3 linked regions of the Canis lupus familiaris genome follow. The protein of the gene in region 3 interacts with the protein of the main gene of each other region in a pairwise test. Links are inferred from orthologs where the notes say so. Each region holds a gene or a part of one and is shown on either strand. Other genes may lie near its edges.

Region 1 (4,299 bases), on a different chromosome or scaffold from region 3:
GCTGCGCCACCCAGGGATCCCTGATCACTTACTGTTAACCAAGCTCTATGGAAGGCACTAGTGGGGAACACAGAGACAAACAGAACAAATTTCCTGCTATCTAAAAGATCACTCTCTCATTGTCACCATTTTCTACAGAAAAGATGCCTCAGAGTGGTTCCTCACACCAATGCATACACGTAACACATTTTCCTTCTCTCTCTCCACTTTATTAAACATTCTCAGTAATGAACCTTCTTGTCTCCTCTCTCATTTCTCTACCTTAGCTCTTTTAAAAGGTAGATCAACTAACTTAAATGAATTTTTAAGGGTTTGGTTTTTTGGGTGTGTGTGTGTGTGTGTCCCTTATCCCTTATTCAGGTTCTCTTCCATAAATGAGAAGCTAATCACCGATTTGCAAGCAAAAGCTCTTCCACCTTAGAACCTCAGAGACCTAGAAGAAGGAAAAGACTAGAAATATTTTAGGTGTAATAAATGTTCTCTCTCGCACACACACACATACACACACATCAAGAAAAAAACAACTGTAATGCAGTGTGATAAATTCTCATGAGTAAAATGTAATAGAAGCCCAAAGAATGGGCTGAATCATTCCATTTTGGGAAGAGAGAGGGGAAAGGAACAAATGTGAGAGAGAACTTCAGGAAGGTAACATTTAAACTGAAGTTAAAAGACAAACACTTTTTCTAGGCTTATGGCGTGAGTATGAAAAGAAATAGCAAGAGCGTGAAGGTTAAAAGGGCTCTTGAGTTTTGGAGGGAACCTGGATAGCTTATCGTGGTGGTCCTCCAATCTTAAAGTGGATAGGTTATCTAGGGGGCTTGCTTAAAATGCAGATTCCTGGGTATACACCTTCCCAATATTTTGAGTTAATGTCCAGAAGTCTGCATTTTAAACAAATTCATCCAGGCTTAACTACTTTGAAGTATGTCAGTAGAGGCTGTGTGGTGAGCAGTGGCATGATGTTGTCAGAGGGCTGAAAAGAATACAAATTAATGTGTCAGGTAAGTGACAACCTAAGACAATAAAAGATATCAGAAAATGATGTCAACTCTTTGAATCTTGTTTTGAGAGACAATGGTTTGGCAGTGGAGCTATTACTTTCATCAAAAACCTCTGCTCTTCCACAGGGATTGTTTACTGAATGGCTAAATGAATGAATGTGGGCAGAATTCTGAGAAAGCCAACCGGAAGTTTCATGGACTGTGAGCACTGCTTGCTTTGTTTAACCCGGCTGTGAGGAAACCTGTTTTAGGATGACCATCCCAGAACAAGGTGCAAGGCTTCCAAATGTTGTCTTGACATGTGTCAAATTGATATATTCGTGCATTTTTACGCAGGCTCATAAACAAGGCAAAAGTGCTTACCCTGTGGATCATCATGCACCACAAGTCGTGTAGCCAAAGCCAGACATTAGCCCTTTAGAGCTGAGATCTGGGAGGCCAGAGCACGCTCTTATATAATTTCCCAGCTAGTCAGTGGTAGGGCCTGTGATTAATGCTACATGACGGGCTTTGAACTTCCCTGTGCAGATGGGTCCGGCTGCTCCTCAAAGCTCCTAGCAAGAGAGGAATGTGCGATCTGCAGATTTCACTCTGAATAACCATCATCTAAGCCAACAGCACTAGCACTGCTCAATGAACGACTGCTACTGTGCCTCACTCCTTATCAATAGGTTGCCATAGGACTGTCAGAGTGGTTTGCTGTTGTTGTTGTTGTTGTTGAACGGGGACAAAACAGAGGAGTAACAAAATTTCGGAGAGCCCAGTGGCTGAAGAGAGCTAAGCAAAGAAGGCTGGGAGCTGGGGGGAGGTTCTTCTGGAGGAAATCCTGAGAGCCCTCGAGCAGTGGCCGGGGTAGAGGAATGACACCAGGGATGGAAGGCGTCCTGCCCTCTCCACCAACCGCATTCACAGCCTCGCGGCGCCTCGCCGGAGCTCCCGCAGGGCAACTGAGCGCAGCAGCGCTTCCAGCGTCCCGGGCCGGGCGGGCGAAGGAGCGGTCCCCACCAAGAGCAACTTTCAAGCTTGGCCAAGGCAAGGCCCAGCCTTCACAGTGTCCCTTCAATCCACGCCCCTTAGCCACCCTCCCCTCCACCTCCGACCCCCCGCAGAAGCGCAGGTGAGGCCGGGAGCGCAGCGGCGGCCCCTCCATCTGCTGCGCTCCCCACCTCCCCATCTCCCGGGGAGGCTCCAGGCAGCAGCCCCGGCGAGGGCGCCCGCGGGAGGGGAGATGACACCTCGGAGCGCTTGCAAAAGCCCGTCTGCACGGCCGCCGCCGAGCGCGGTGCCCCCGGCCGGTGCCCGCCAGCGCCGGGGGGGGGGGGTGCCCAGGACCGGACTGCGCGAGCGCCGCGCGCCCTCCCGACCTCTCCGCACCTGGCTCCGCGCCCCGCCCGCCGCGCGCACTCACCAGTTCCAGGGCTCGCAGGAAGGCAAGGGGCTCCTTGAGCGCCCGGAACGTGCCCGCGGAGGCCAGCTTTGGACGGACGAGAGCGAGAGAGAGAGGGAGAGAGGAGAGGAGAGGAGAGGAGTGAGGAGGGGGCCGCGGCCCTTCCCGCCTCCCGGGGCCGCAGGGCCCCCAGCCCCCGCCGCCCTGTCCAGACCAGGTCCGCCCTACCTGACTCACGGGGTCCATCGCTCGCGCGCGCGCTGACCGCTTCTCCCCTCCGGATGAAGTTCGGGGGGCGCCGCCGAGTCGTCCTCGAGGCCAGAAGCTCGGCGGCGGGCAGCGCCCGGGGGGCGAGGCCCGGGCAGCTCGGGGCCCGCGCGGGCTGGCTGATGCTCGGCTGGCGGTGCGCTCCGCGAAGCCTGCGCGCCCGGGCTGCGAGCGGAGGCGGCGGGGGGGCGGGGAGGGGGCGGGAGGGGGAGCGCCCGGGGAGGGCTGCCATTGGCCAGCTGCAGCGGGGGGGCGCGGGGGCGGGGGGCGGGGGGCGGGCGAGGCCGAGCGCGGGGCTCCGGGCAGGCTCGGCAGCGCGCGCCCGCGCCCTCGGGCTCGGGGAAAACTTGGGGGGCCGAGGGCGGGAAAAGCCGGCTGGCTGCGTGGGCAGCGGGGTTCCAGGGCGCAAGCAGGGGTTGCAGGTAAGAGAAGGGCACCCGCCCCTTACCTGGGGACGTGCGTGAGGTCCGGGGACATCCGAACACCAAAGCAAGCCTGCTGGCGTCGGGGGCCGCCCTGGGTGCGGCGGGGCAGCGCCGGGGCGGGGGCGCATCCGAGAACCCGGGGCCGCGGCGCCTTCCCCAGCACCAGCGGACCCGCGGGACCCACGGACGCGGCGAGAGCGCGGGACCCGGTCATCTTGAAAGTGGTCCAGGGCCCCAAGGGGGTCATTCTCGGGGCCACTGCGGGAGGTCAGGAAGCAAGTTCTGGTGCCCACGTTAAAGGTAGGAAAGAGACTTCAGGGGGTCCCTGGGTGGCTCAGCGGTTTGGAGCCTGCCTTTGGCCCAGGGTGTGATCCTGGAGACCCGGGATCGAGTCCCGCGTCGGGCTCCCTGCGTGGAGCTTGCTTCTCCTTCTGCCTCTCTCTGTGTATCTCTCATGAATAAATAAATAAAATCTTTAAAAAAAAAAAAAAAAGAAAAGAAAAGAGACTTCACAGAGGCCGAATTGGCCAAGGTAACACACAGCTCATGAGAGGTCAAAAACGAAGTTTTCCGTGCTTTTCCGCTGAGATCCTTTGCCAAATAACCCCCGAATGAAGCTCCCCGAATTCATCATAAATAGTACTGAGCCCTCGCCTGCCAAACTCATACTTTTTTTTTCTTTTTTTTTTTTTTTTACCTCCCTCGTTCTGCTAATCTTCCTGAAAAGGATAGATCACAACAGCAAAACAATCGAGTTCTTTCTGTGGGTCAGAAATTGTGCTGAGAGCTTTATAAACATTAGTTCACATATTCAACATAACCCCCGTGGGTTAGTATGCTATTATTCTCACTTTAGAGATGAGGACATGGAGGGTCATGGAGGCGAAGTTGGTCTGCTCTAGTTTAAAGAGCTAACAGAGAATGAAGCCCGAGCTGGTTTCAAAGTGTCAGAAAAAGAGAAGATGAGGAAGGGTGCTCAGCCACTAAATCATGTTGCTGGTGTGCCCCCTTCCTTCTCACTCCCTTTGGACTGGATTCCACATATGAAGTGGTCTCCCAGCAACACAGATACCCCATCTGTTTACTACAAAGATCTGCCAAAAAGGTTTGGAGGTTGTGTGTGGAGGGTGGAGTGGTGGTGGTGGGGGGCGACTAATATTTAAGAGCAGGGGATGAAGATGGAAATGAATAGTTAGGAGTTAGCTAAGGGGAGACA
Region 2 (3,966 bases), on a different chromosome or scaffold from region 3:
TACAATTCCTCTTGAAAATCAGAAAAAGCACTGCTTCCGTTTTTGGAAATACTCTGGAATGCAGCAGGCAAACCAAGCAGCGGCCCTGGGGGCACCCCGAGGGCACCCAGGGGACCAGGGAGGGTGCTAGGAGGGCCCAGGTGAGCGGGAGGCCCAGAGGAGAGACCCCAGGGATCAAGGGTCTCAGTGGTACCAACTGCAAGACCCTGCTTCCTCAGAAATTTTGAAATAAATATGGAAAAAGACATCAACTGTTCATGTTCTCATCATCACTGAAAACAGCCAAAGGAAACATTTCCTTCGCAGGTGCAGCAGTCCTGGGGGCCAGGGCCCGGGGGGGCGCAGTCGCAGCCCAGCACTGGGGGCCCCGTTCTCAGGGGCCGCGGCCTCCACTCCTAGCACGGAGCTGCGCCAGCCCCAGTCAGCACGGCCAGAGGCGGGGTCTGAGCAACGACGGCGTCCCAGCGCATCAGCAGAGCCCGAGTGTGCAGGTCACGCCAGGCTCCCCCGAGCAGCCGACACACGAAAGCCCACCCCCCACCACGACAGACACCCACCGAGGGGCACCCAGGTGCCCTTCCCACTGGCCACGTGGCCCTGTCTGGGCTGCAGAAGCCATCCACCGTCCCCGGGCGTCCCCGGGCGGCAGGGCAGGGCAGCAGAGGCCGGCCCTTCCTCTGGTCAGCTCGGGTGTCGGGAGGCCCCCACCTCATGGCTTTAAAAAAGGCAAGAGCCTTTGCCTACAGCACACGCTGGTCTCCTCAGTCACTGGAAACCCGCAGCGTGCTGCGAGCACGAGCACCCCGGCCCACCTGGGAGCTGTTTTTCTCTCCGATGCTGTGGGTGTCTACTTCCGAAGCTCGGGTCGTATCCTGCGGGGTCTGTGAGCGCGGAGGGCTGCGCAGAGACAGGAGAACGGGAGAAGGCGCAGAACATGAACATTGTCCTTCGTGACCGGCAAAGCCTCCGAGAGGAGGAGCACCGGCACCAGGCCCCAGCCCCCGCCCTCCTCAGCTGGGCTAGGCCGGCATCGGGCAGCCAGAGTGGGGGGTGGGGGCTCCCCACGGCCGCCTTCCCGCACTGGCTCTGTGCCCCGCTGCACAGCCGAGAGCAGCTGACCTTTGATTTCTGACTCAGCCCTGCCACCGGGAGTCACTGGCAGCACTGACGCACGGCAGCTCGCGGTGGCCAGGGGGCCAGGCAGGACATGCAGGGGCAGGGGCAGGGGCAGGGGCAGGGGCAGGGGCAGGGGCAGGGGCCCTCAGCTCTGCCGCGGTCCGCCCACAGACCAGGAGGGCAGAGGCCACTCCTGGACCCGGCCCTGCTCGTCCCCCGTGATGTCAGCACCGGAACAGACGCGCGTGTGTATGCCCACCTGTCACAGTGAGAACTCTTGGAGCTACTCCGTCCAGATTCATGCTGGGCATCCAGCAGTATTTTTTCCAGGTCACCGTTATAAATAGAAGCGGAGGCTGGAACGCTGCTCCCGTTCCCATTGTTGCTGAAGTGCAGCTCTACCCAGGAGCCTGAGGGGACAGGAAGGCCATGCTGGGGGTTTTCCGCCCACCGCGGAGCCTCCGCTGGCACAGGAGCAGCCCGCCTGCCACCCGGGGTGTGGGGACGCACGCCCAGCCAGCCCCGGCGCCGGGTCCCCAGCCGGTGGCCAGAAGCGCTAACCCGGGAAGCCACGGGCCGCTGCAGGCCGGCTGACCGCGGTGCAGTCTTGCCCTCACGTCCACAAGAGCCGAAGAGACTGACGTCTGTAAGGTTCACATCATCTCTTTCCCATCTCTTTCCCCACCAGAAACACGCTGATCCCGAGGCCCCACAGAACTCCACCCCGACTGGATTCTGGGTCCCCTCCACCAAAAGCCGGACACGCGAGCTCCGCAGAGCCAGGGGGGCTGCTCACCGACCGTCCCCCAGCGAGTCCAGCCGGAGCCAGAGCCCCCCGAGCTGCTGCTGCCCACGTTTTGCAGATTCCGATCACCCACTTACCGAGACAGAGGCTCACACCCACCACCCCCGACCCACCACCCCCGCGAGTGAGGCTGTCGCCTTCAGCAGCCTGGGTCCTCACGAGCGCACCTGGACGTCATGCTGACATAAACACGGCCCAGGGCACCCTCACCGCTGCAGGGCCCTGGGACAGGGCGGGGCGGGGAGGGCAGCCTGCATGGGTGCCTTGCTGGGGGGCGCAGGAGCGGGCCCCTGGCCACCCCCCGGGAGGCTCAGATGACCCCGACCGCCAGGAGCCCAGCAGAGCCCAGGACCTCGGGGCCGGCAGCACTTGTGGGGACCTGAGAACAGACACACCCTCTGGCTCCGCCACGACCGTCCACGCAGGACGGGGCCTGCTCCGCGACTGCTAGGGTTTAAGATTTGAGAGAGACGCACAGCGCGCGTGCGCAGGAGGAGCGGGGCTGGGGGAGAATGCCAGGCAGATGCCCCGGACTTGGGGCGCGACCTCACGACCTGAGCAGAATCCAGGAGTCGGACCCTCACTGCCAGAGCCCCCGGGGGCCCCGTAACTGCTGGTGTTTCCCGGCGTCCACGCGCCCATGTCAGCCCAGGAGCGGGGCGCTGGGCTCAAGGAGCACGTGCACACCCGTGTTACCAGGAAACGCCCGCCCTGCCCACTGAACCCAGGTGAGCCCCCTCAACGACACCAGACATCAGACCTGCAGCCTCACACTCGGCACAACCAGTCTCTGTGACCGTGTCCTGTGTGCTTCCTTTTACATCTCTCTGATCTCCCATGAAACCGGCCACCGTGTCATGTTTACGGGCCATTTGCACAGCAGCTTTTACATCAGCTGTTCAGGGGGCTCCCGGGCGGCTCGGCTGGCCAAGCATCCGACTCCTGGTTCCGGCTCCGATCATGCTCTCGGGGCCCTTGGGTGGAGCCCTACATCGGGCTCCCGCTCAGAGGGAGGCGCACGCTCGCGCCCTCTGCCCCTCTGCCCTTCCACACTCTCTCTCTCTCTGAAAAGAAGAAAAAGACATACAGAAGCTGTTCAAAAATCCCGCGGTCTGTAGAAGCTCAACGTGCATGACACAAGCCGCTCTTCATCTGCACAGGCCGCAGGTGACTTCCCTGGGCCTTGCCTTTACAGAGCTAATGCCGTGTTCTGAGCAACAACAGTCTTTGATTTTAATCCGAAGTTTCAGTCTCTTCCTGCTGAGGCCACGGAGATCGGTGCTGCGGGGACCCCCCCACCAGGCCTGGGTTCACCGAGCCCGGCTTCCCGCTGGGCGTGTGGCCCTCCGGGAGGCTGCTCCCGCGCCCCGAGCCGCCTGCCCCTGCACCCTCTGCTGTGCTGCTTCCTGGCAACGTGCACACGTCTGTCTCGGAGCCCGACCGTCTGTCTGTGGCTCCAGTCTGTGGGTCTCCGGCGCCGTGTACCTGTCAGACGAAGGCGGGCCGCGGAGACGGCAGCCGGTACCCGAGAGCCTAGGAGCCGCGCCCCTAGTCACTCTGTCCCGCGACGGTCACGCCGAGCTGCCTCACTCCCAAGCAACACGGAAGCACACGGCCCTCCGCGGCACGGCGGCGCCCAGCCCGAGCCCCACGCAGGGCCGCCCCCTCCACCCCGGGAACCTCCCGGCTCGCCGACTGCACGTCTCTGCAGAGCATCCTCACCTGCCCTCTGTACCTTATTCTCACGTCGCGTTAATCAGAAAAAAAGCAAAGCACAGGCCCCACCAGCCAGCTTACGTCGGCCTCCCAGTCAGCCAACAAAATGTCACGCAGGCTTCCCAGCCGCACGGCTTGCCCCTTCAACTTCCCAAGCGCTTCACGCGGGCCCGGGCGCACAAGCTCGTCACCAGCGCACAGGCCAGGGCCTCCGCGGAGCTGCGGGGACTCCGGGGCCACCCGCCCCGGCACCCCGAGACCGCGCGTCTGACGGCTTTCCTCCAGGCTGCTGCCCCCTAACCCCGAGCCCTCATTATGAAAGCTCCAGA
Region 3 (4,051 bases):
ATTTTTCTAAAGCTTTCCCTCCCTCACAGTGAAAGTGTGGAACAGATTGGATACAGAACTTGAAACTCAGATGACTCCCTTCAACAGTCAGGTCCCTCTCCTCTCCAACTGGGTTCTCTTTTTCCAGCAACTTTTGCAACAGTATAGCAACCATGTTTCCAAAGCTTCTTCTCACTTAGCAGTGAATGTAACCTAAAGGATTGGCTACACAGTGAGAGATCTCACGGGATTCCCTAGAACACTCAGGTCTCCCTCCTCTCCAAAATGACCACCTTTTCCCAGTATCCTTTGTAACAGTGTACCTGCCAGTTTTCCAGAGCTTTTCTTAACCCACATTAAAGGTACTTTAAAGGATTGGCTACATAATGGTCAGATTCAATTGATTGGATTTCCTAACAGCCAGGGAACATAGGAACCTAACTTGTCTTAATCTTTTTCCAGACTTGAGAATCATATTGTTTTATGTATGTATATTTCTATTTAATAGCGTAGATGAGGTCCATCTACAGTATCAAGGATTACTAATGTCTTTTACTTAAAGTCCACAGAGTGTAGATGCTAACTAAAATTCCAAAATGATGGGGATCCCTGGGTGGCTCAGCGGTTTAGTGCCTGCCTTTGGCCCAGGGCGCGATCCTGGAGTTCCGGGATCAAGTCCGGCGTCGGGCTCCCGGTGCATGGAGCTGCTTCTCCCTCCTCCTGTGTCTCTGCCTCTCTCTTTCTCTCTCTATCATAAATAAATAAATAAATCTTTAAAAAAATAAAAATAAAAATAAAATAAAATAAATTCCAAAATGCCTTCATGGCAACACCTAGACTAGTGTTTGATGGAATAACTGGGAACTACAGGCTACCCAACAAACAGGTAAACTTGACCCTCATAGTGATCTAATCATTAGGGAAGCTGAGGGAGAATTTGGACTTAGACCAGAGACTGTAGGACCTGTATGGGGACAGTGGGGCCTCCAATGGCTACAGACAGATTCTTTCTTTCCTATCCTTCCTTCCTTTTATTCATCAATGATTCTCATGATTCCAGGCTGATTATTTAGTTGATAATTAAATAATTTATATAGTTATAATTTATATAGATAATATAGATAATATAGATATGGAAGGAAATATACATATAGAATTATTTATTTATAAAGGAAAGTGTCATTTCACACACAATAGAGTTTTGCAAAATAAAGTGTATATGTAGTCCCCAAGGAATATGTGAATCCGGTGTTCTGGAAACCCAAGGTTGAGCTCCCAGCCTACCAAAGGATGGCCCTGACCTCTCAAAGGACATCCCTGCCTTCATTGCCTCACTGGTACACAAAAGCTTTTTCCTTTGGCCCCAAGTCAACATCTGGCTCTGCTCAACCTACCGTCATGAAGCTGGAGCCCCTTTAGTCTGTTGTCCCAACCCCAGCCTAGCCACTGCATGCCAAGGACTCCATACAGTACCGCTTTCTTGCTCCGGTTGCCAGTCATATTCCAACCCGATTGACCTGCAGCAGAGCCAGCAGCCTTTGGATCCGCCTTCTGTCGCCGCTGAGAAGCACCCACAGACTGGGATCCATGCTCCATCATTTCTAGGCAAAAGAAGAGAGGCCCCAGAAACACCCATAGAGGCTATACCAAGGCTTCCTGGACACAGGACACACCAGAAAGAGGATAAGGTACCCAAACTTCTTAGGAGTCATTCAATATTCATTCACTGTTGTCCCCTGGCAGATCCCAAGCCTCAGTCTGTTCATTTGTTTAAAAGTTTAGTAAGTATTTCTTGAGGGCCAAACTCTGGGCTAGGTTACTGGAGGGAGAGCAATGACCAAGACACAAGATCTCAGCAATCTAGTAATCAACTGTCTATGTGTGCTTAGCTGAAGTGAGGGGTGCAAAATGGGTATAATCTATCAGTGTTAACTCAGATCAAGAGATACATGCTCCCAAAATGATAAGAACAGGGCAACATGGTGGAAGGAAGGGCTACTTCTAGAAAAGCCAGAAACACCTGTGAGGCAGAGACCTGAAAGACAAAAATGATGGCAGCCATGGAAAATCTAGGAAAACAGCATCCCAGGCAGAGGTAGCAGTCAACACAAAGGCTATCAGGAAGAATCAGCCTTCGGGTCTTATGAGGACAAGTATAAATGCAGTGTGCTGTGGGTCATCATACCACAGCATGAAATATATTGAGGAGGTGGCATTGGCTGGCTCTTGTAGATCAAGGAAAGGAGTTTGGATTTTACTCTAAAGGAGGAAAAGGCATTAAAAAGGAGAGAGAATTGGTCTGAATGATCTTATAAATTGAGCGCTCTGGATACTTTGCCATAAACACAGTGGTAGCTTGGACAGGGGGAGATAAGGACCACACATGTGGATCCCATCCTACTCTCTCACAGGCTTCAAAATGCTCACATCATCAATACCTTTCCCCCCCAGCTTCCTGTTCATCAAGGCACAAATACAGGTATACGCACACCAAGGCACAGACACACACATAGCCACACATACTTGCATATATATGACTCTTCCCAGCCATGAACACACCTTCTCCAACACATGTGACTGGGTGCAGACACCCAAAGGAAAGGGACATTACAGGGGCTCCTCACCTGCTATCACCAGGTGCTCCTGGCTTTTCCCATAGTTTCCAGGAACCAGCTCTTCAGCGATGGATGTTTCCATCTCCTCCTTGATAGTAGGGGGGCCTCCTGCCATCACAGCTAGCGCTTAGCTATTAAGCTATAGCCAGGATACACAGGAAGCCGGGCACAGAGCAGACTCTTGGAAAGTCTGCTCTTCCAGGGGCAGGAGCTCGAGGAAGATATATCTGGCCATGGGGGTGGAGCCACACTCTCCCACAGGACTCAGGCCTTGGACCCAGCACCTTGTGTTCCTGTTGTATCTTATTGGCTTGGTTCACAGTCTTCTCCCCTGCTACTCTGTAAGCAACTTAGGAGGAGGAGTTTCTGATACTTATCTCAGAAACTTTGCCTGTGAGAACTACCCTGGCTCTCGGGTCACATGATTTGGCCCCATTGAGGGGCCAGTGGGATCTACTCTCCATCATTTCTAAAGAGAGGTAGATACTGGCACAGGACCCCAAAGCCAGTCAGTAGCCAGAACAGGGTTAGATCCCAAACTTGTTGTGGCTTCTGCAAGCCCAGCTCTGGCAAGTATTTCAGGCCACAGCTCCCCTCAGGAGGCATCCTCTACAGAGCACATCTTGTTTCCCCCCAATGTAGAGTTCCCAGGGGAGATGGCCTTTTAATGCCTTGGGTCAGTCTGAGCAGGAACCATGAGAATCTAAGGAGGGAAGGGCAGGAAAGAAGGGATCTACCTGTAGCCACTGGAGGGCCCACTGTCCCCAGGCAGGCCCTGCAGTCCCTGGTCTAAGTCCAAATTCTCTCTCAGCTTCCCTAATGATTAGACCACTGTGAGGGTCAAGTTTATCTGTTCGTTGGGTAGCCTATAGTTCCCAGTTATTCCATCAAACACTAGTCTAGGTGTTGCTATGAAGTTATTTTGGAGCTTTGGTTGACATTTGCACTCTGTGGACTTTAAGTAAAAGACATTACTAATCCTTGATAATGTGGATAGGCCTCATTTAATGAGTTGAAAGGCCTGAAGAGCAAAGACTGAGGTTTTCCAGCGAAGAAGAAATTTTGCTCAAGAATGCAACATCGGGAAACAAAAGCAAACAAAAACTCCTGGGACTAAATCAGAATACAAAGCTTTGGCACAGTAAAGGAACCTGTCAACAAAACAGAAAGGCAACCTAGTGAATGGGAAAAGATATGGGCAAATGATGTATCTGAGAAGGGGTTAAAATGCAAAATATATAAAGAACTGATACAACTGTCAGCACTAGAAAAACAAAAAAATCCAATTTAAGAAGGGGCAGAGGACCTGAATAGACTTATTTCCAAAGAAGACATACAGATGGCCAACAGACATGTGAAAAGATGCTCAGCATCACTCATCATCAGGGAAATGCAAATCAAAACCACCATGAGGTATCACCTCACCCCTGTGAGAATGGCTAAAATCAACAATACAA

What was found.
Region 1: the proteins of FATE1 (region 3) and SYNPR interact in binary tests that used the Homo sapiens proteins (3 or more experiments, as listed by UniProt). The link is inferred for Canis lupus familiaris from reciprocal best matches to the Homo sapiens genes FATE1 and SYNPR.
Region 2: the proteins of FATE1 (region 3) and BNIP3 interact in binary tests that used the Homo sapiens proteins (3 or more experiments, as listed by UniProt). The two-hybrid records come from large-scale screens. The link is inferred for Canis lupus familiaris from reciprocal best matches to the Homo sapiens genes FATE1 and BNIP3.

What each region holds. Positions count from the first base shown.
Region 1 is NC_049241.1:28,047,158-28,051,456, forward strand, and holds the start of SYNPR (synaptoporin), read right to left. Parts: upstream 2,809-4,299; 5' UTR 2,638-2,808; coding exon 2,620-2,637; intron 2,479-2,619; coding exon 2,413-2,478; intron 1-2,412. UniProt on the Homo sapiens protein: Intrinsic membrane protein of small synaptic vesicles. Probable vesicular channel protein.
Region 2 is NC_049249.1:40,552,840-40,556,805, forward strand, and holds the start of BNIP3 (BCL2/adenovirus E1B 19 kDa protein-interacting protein 3), read right to left. Parts: upstream 2,809-3,966; 5' UTR 2,794-2,808; coding exon 2,682-2,793; intron 1,527-2,681; coding exon 1,376-1,526; intron 898-1,375; coding exon 813-897; intron 1-812. UniProt on the Homo sapiens protein: Apoptosis-inducing protein that can overcome BCL2 suppression. May play a role in repartitioning calcium between the two major intracellular calcium stores in association with BCL2.
Region 3 is NC_049260.1:120,980,357-120,984,407, reverse strand, and holds the start of FATE1 (fetal and adult testis-expressed transcript protein), read right to left. Parts: upstream 2,805-4,051; 5' UTR 2,710-2,804; coding exon 2,604-2,709; intron 1,581-2,603; coding exon 1,453-1,580; intron 1-1,452. UniProt on the Homo sapiens protein: Involved in the regulation of endoplasmic reticulum (ER)-mitochondria coupling. Negatively regulates the ER-mitochondria distance and Ca(2+) transfer from ER to mitochondria possibly implicating it in the regulation of apoptosis.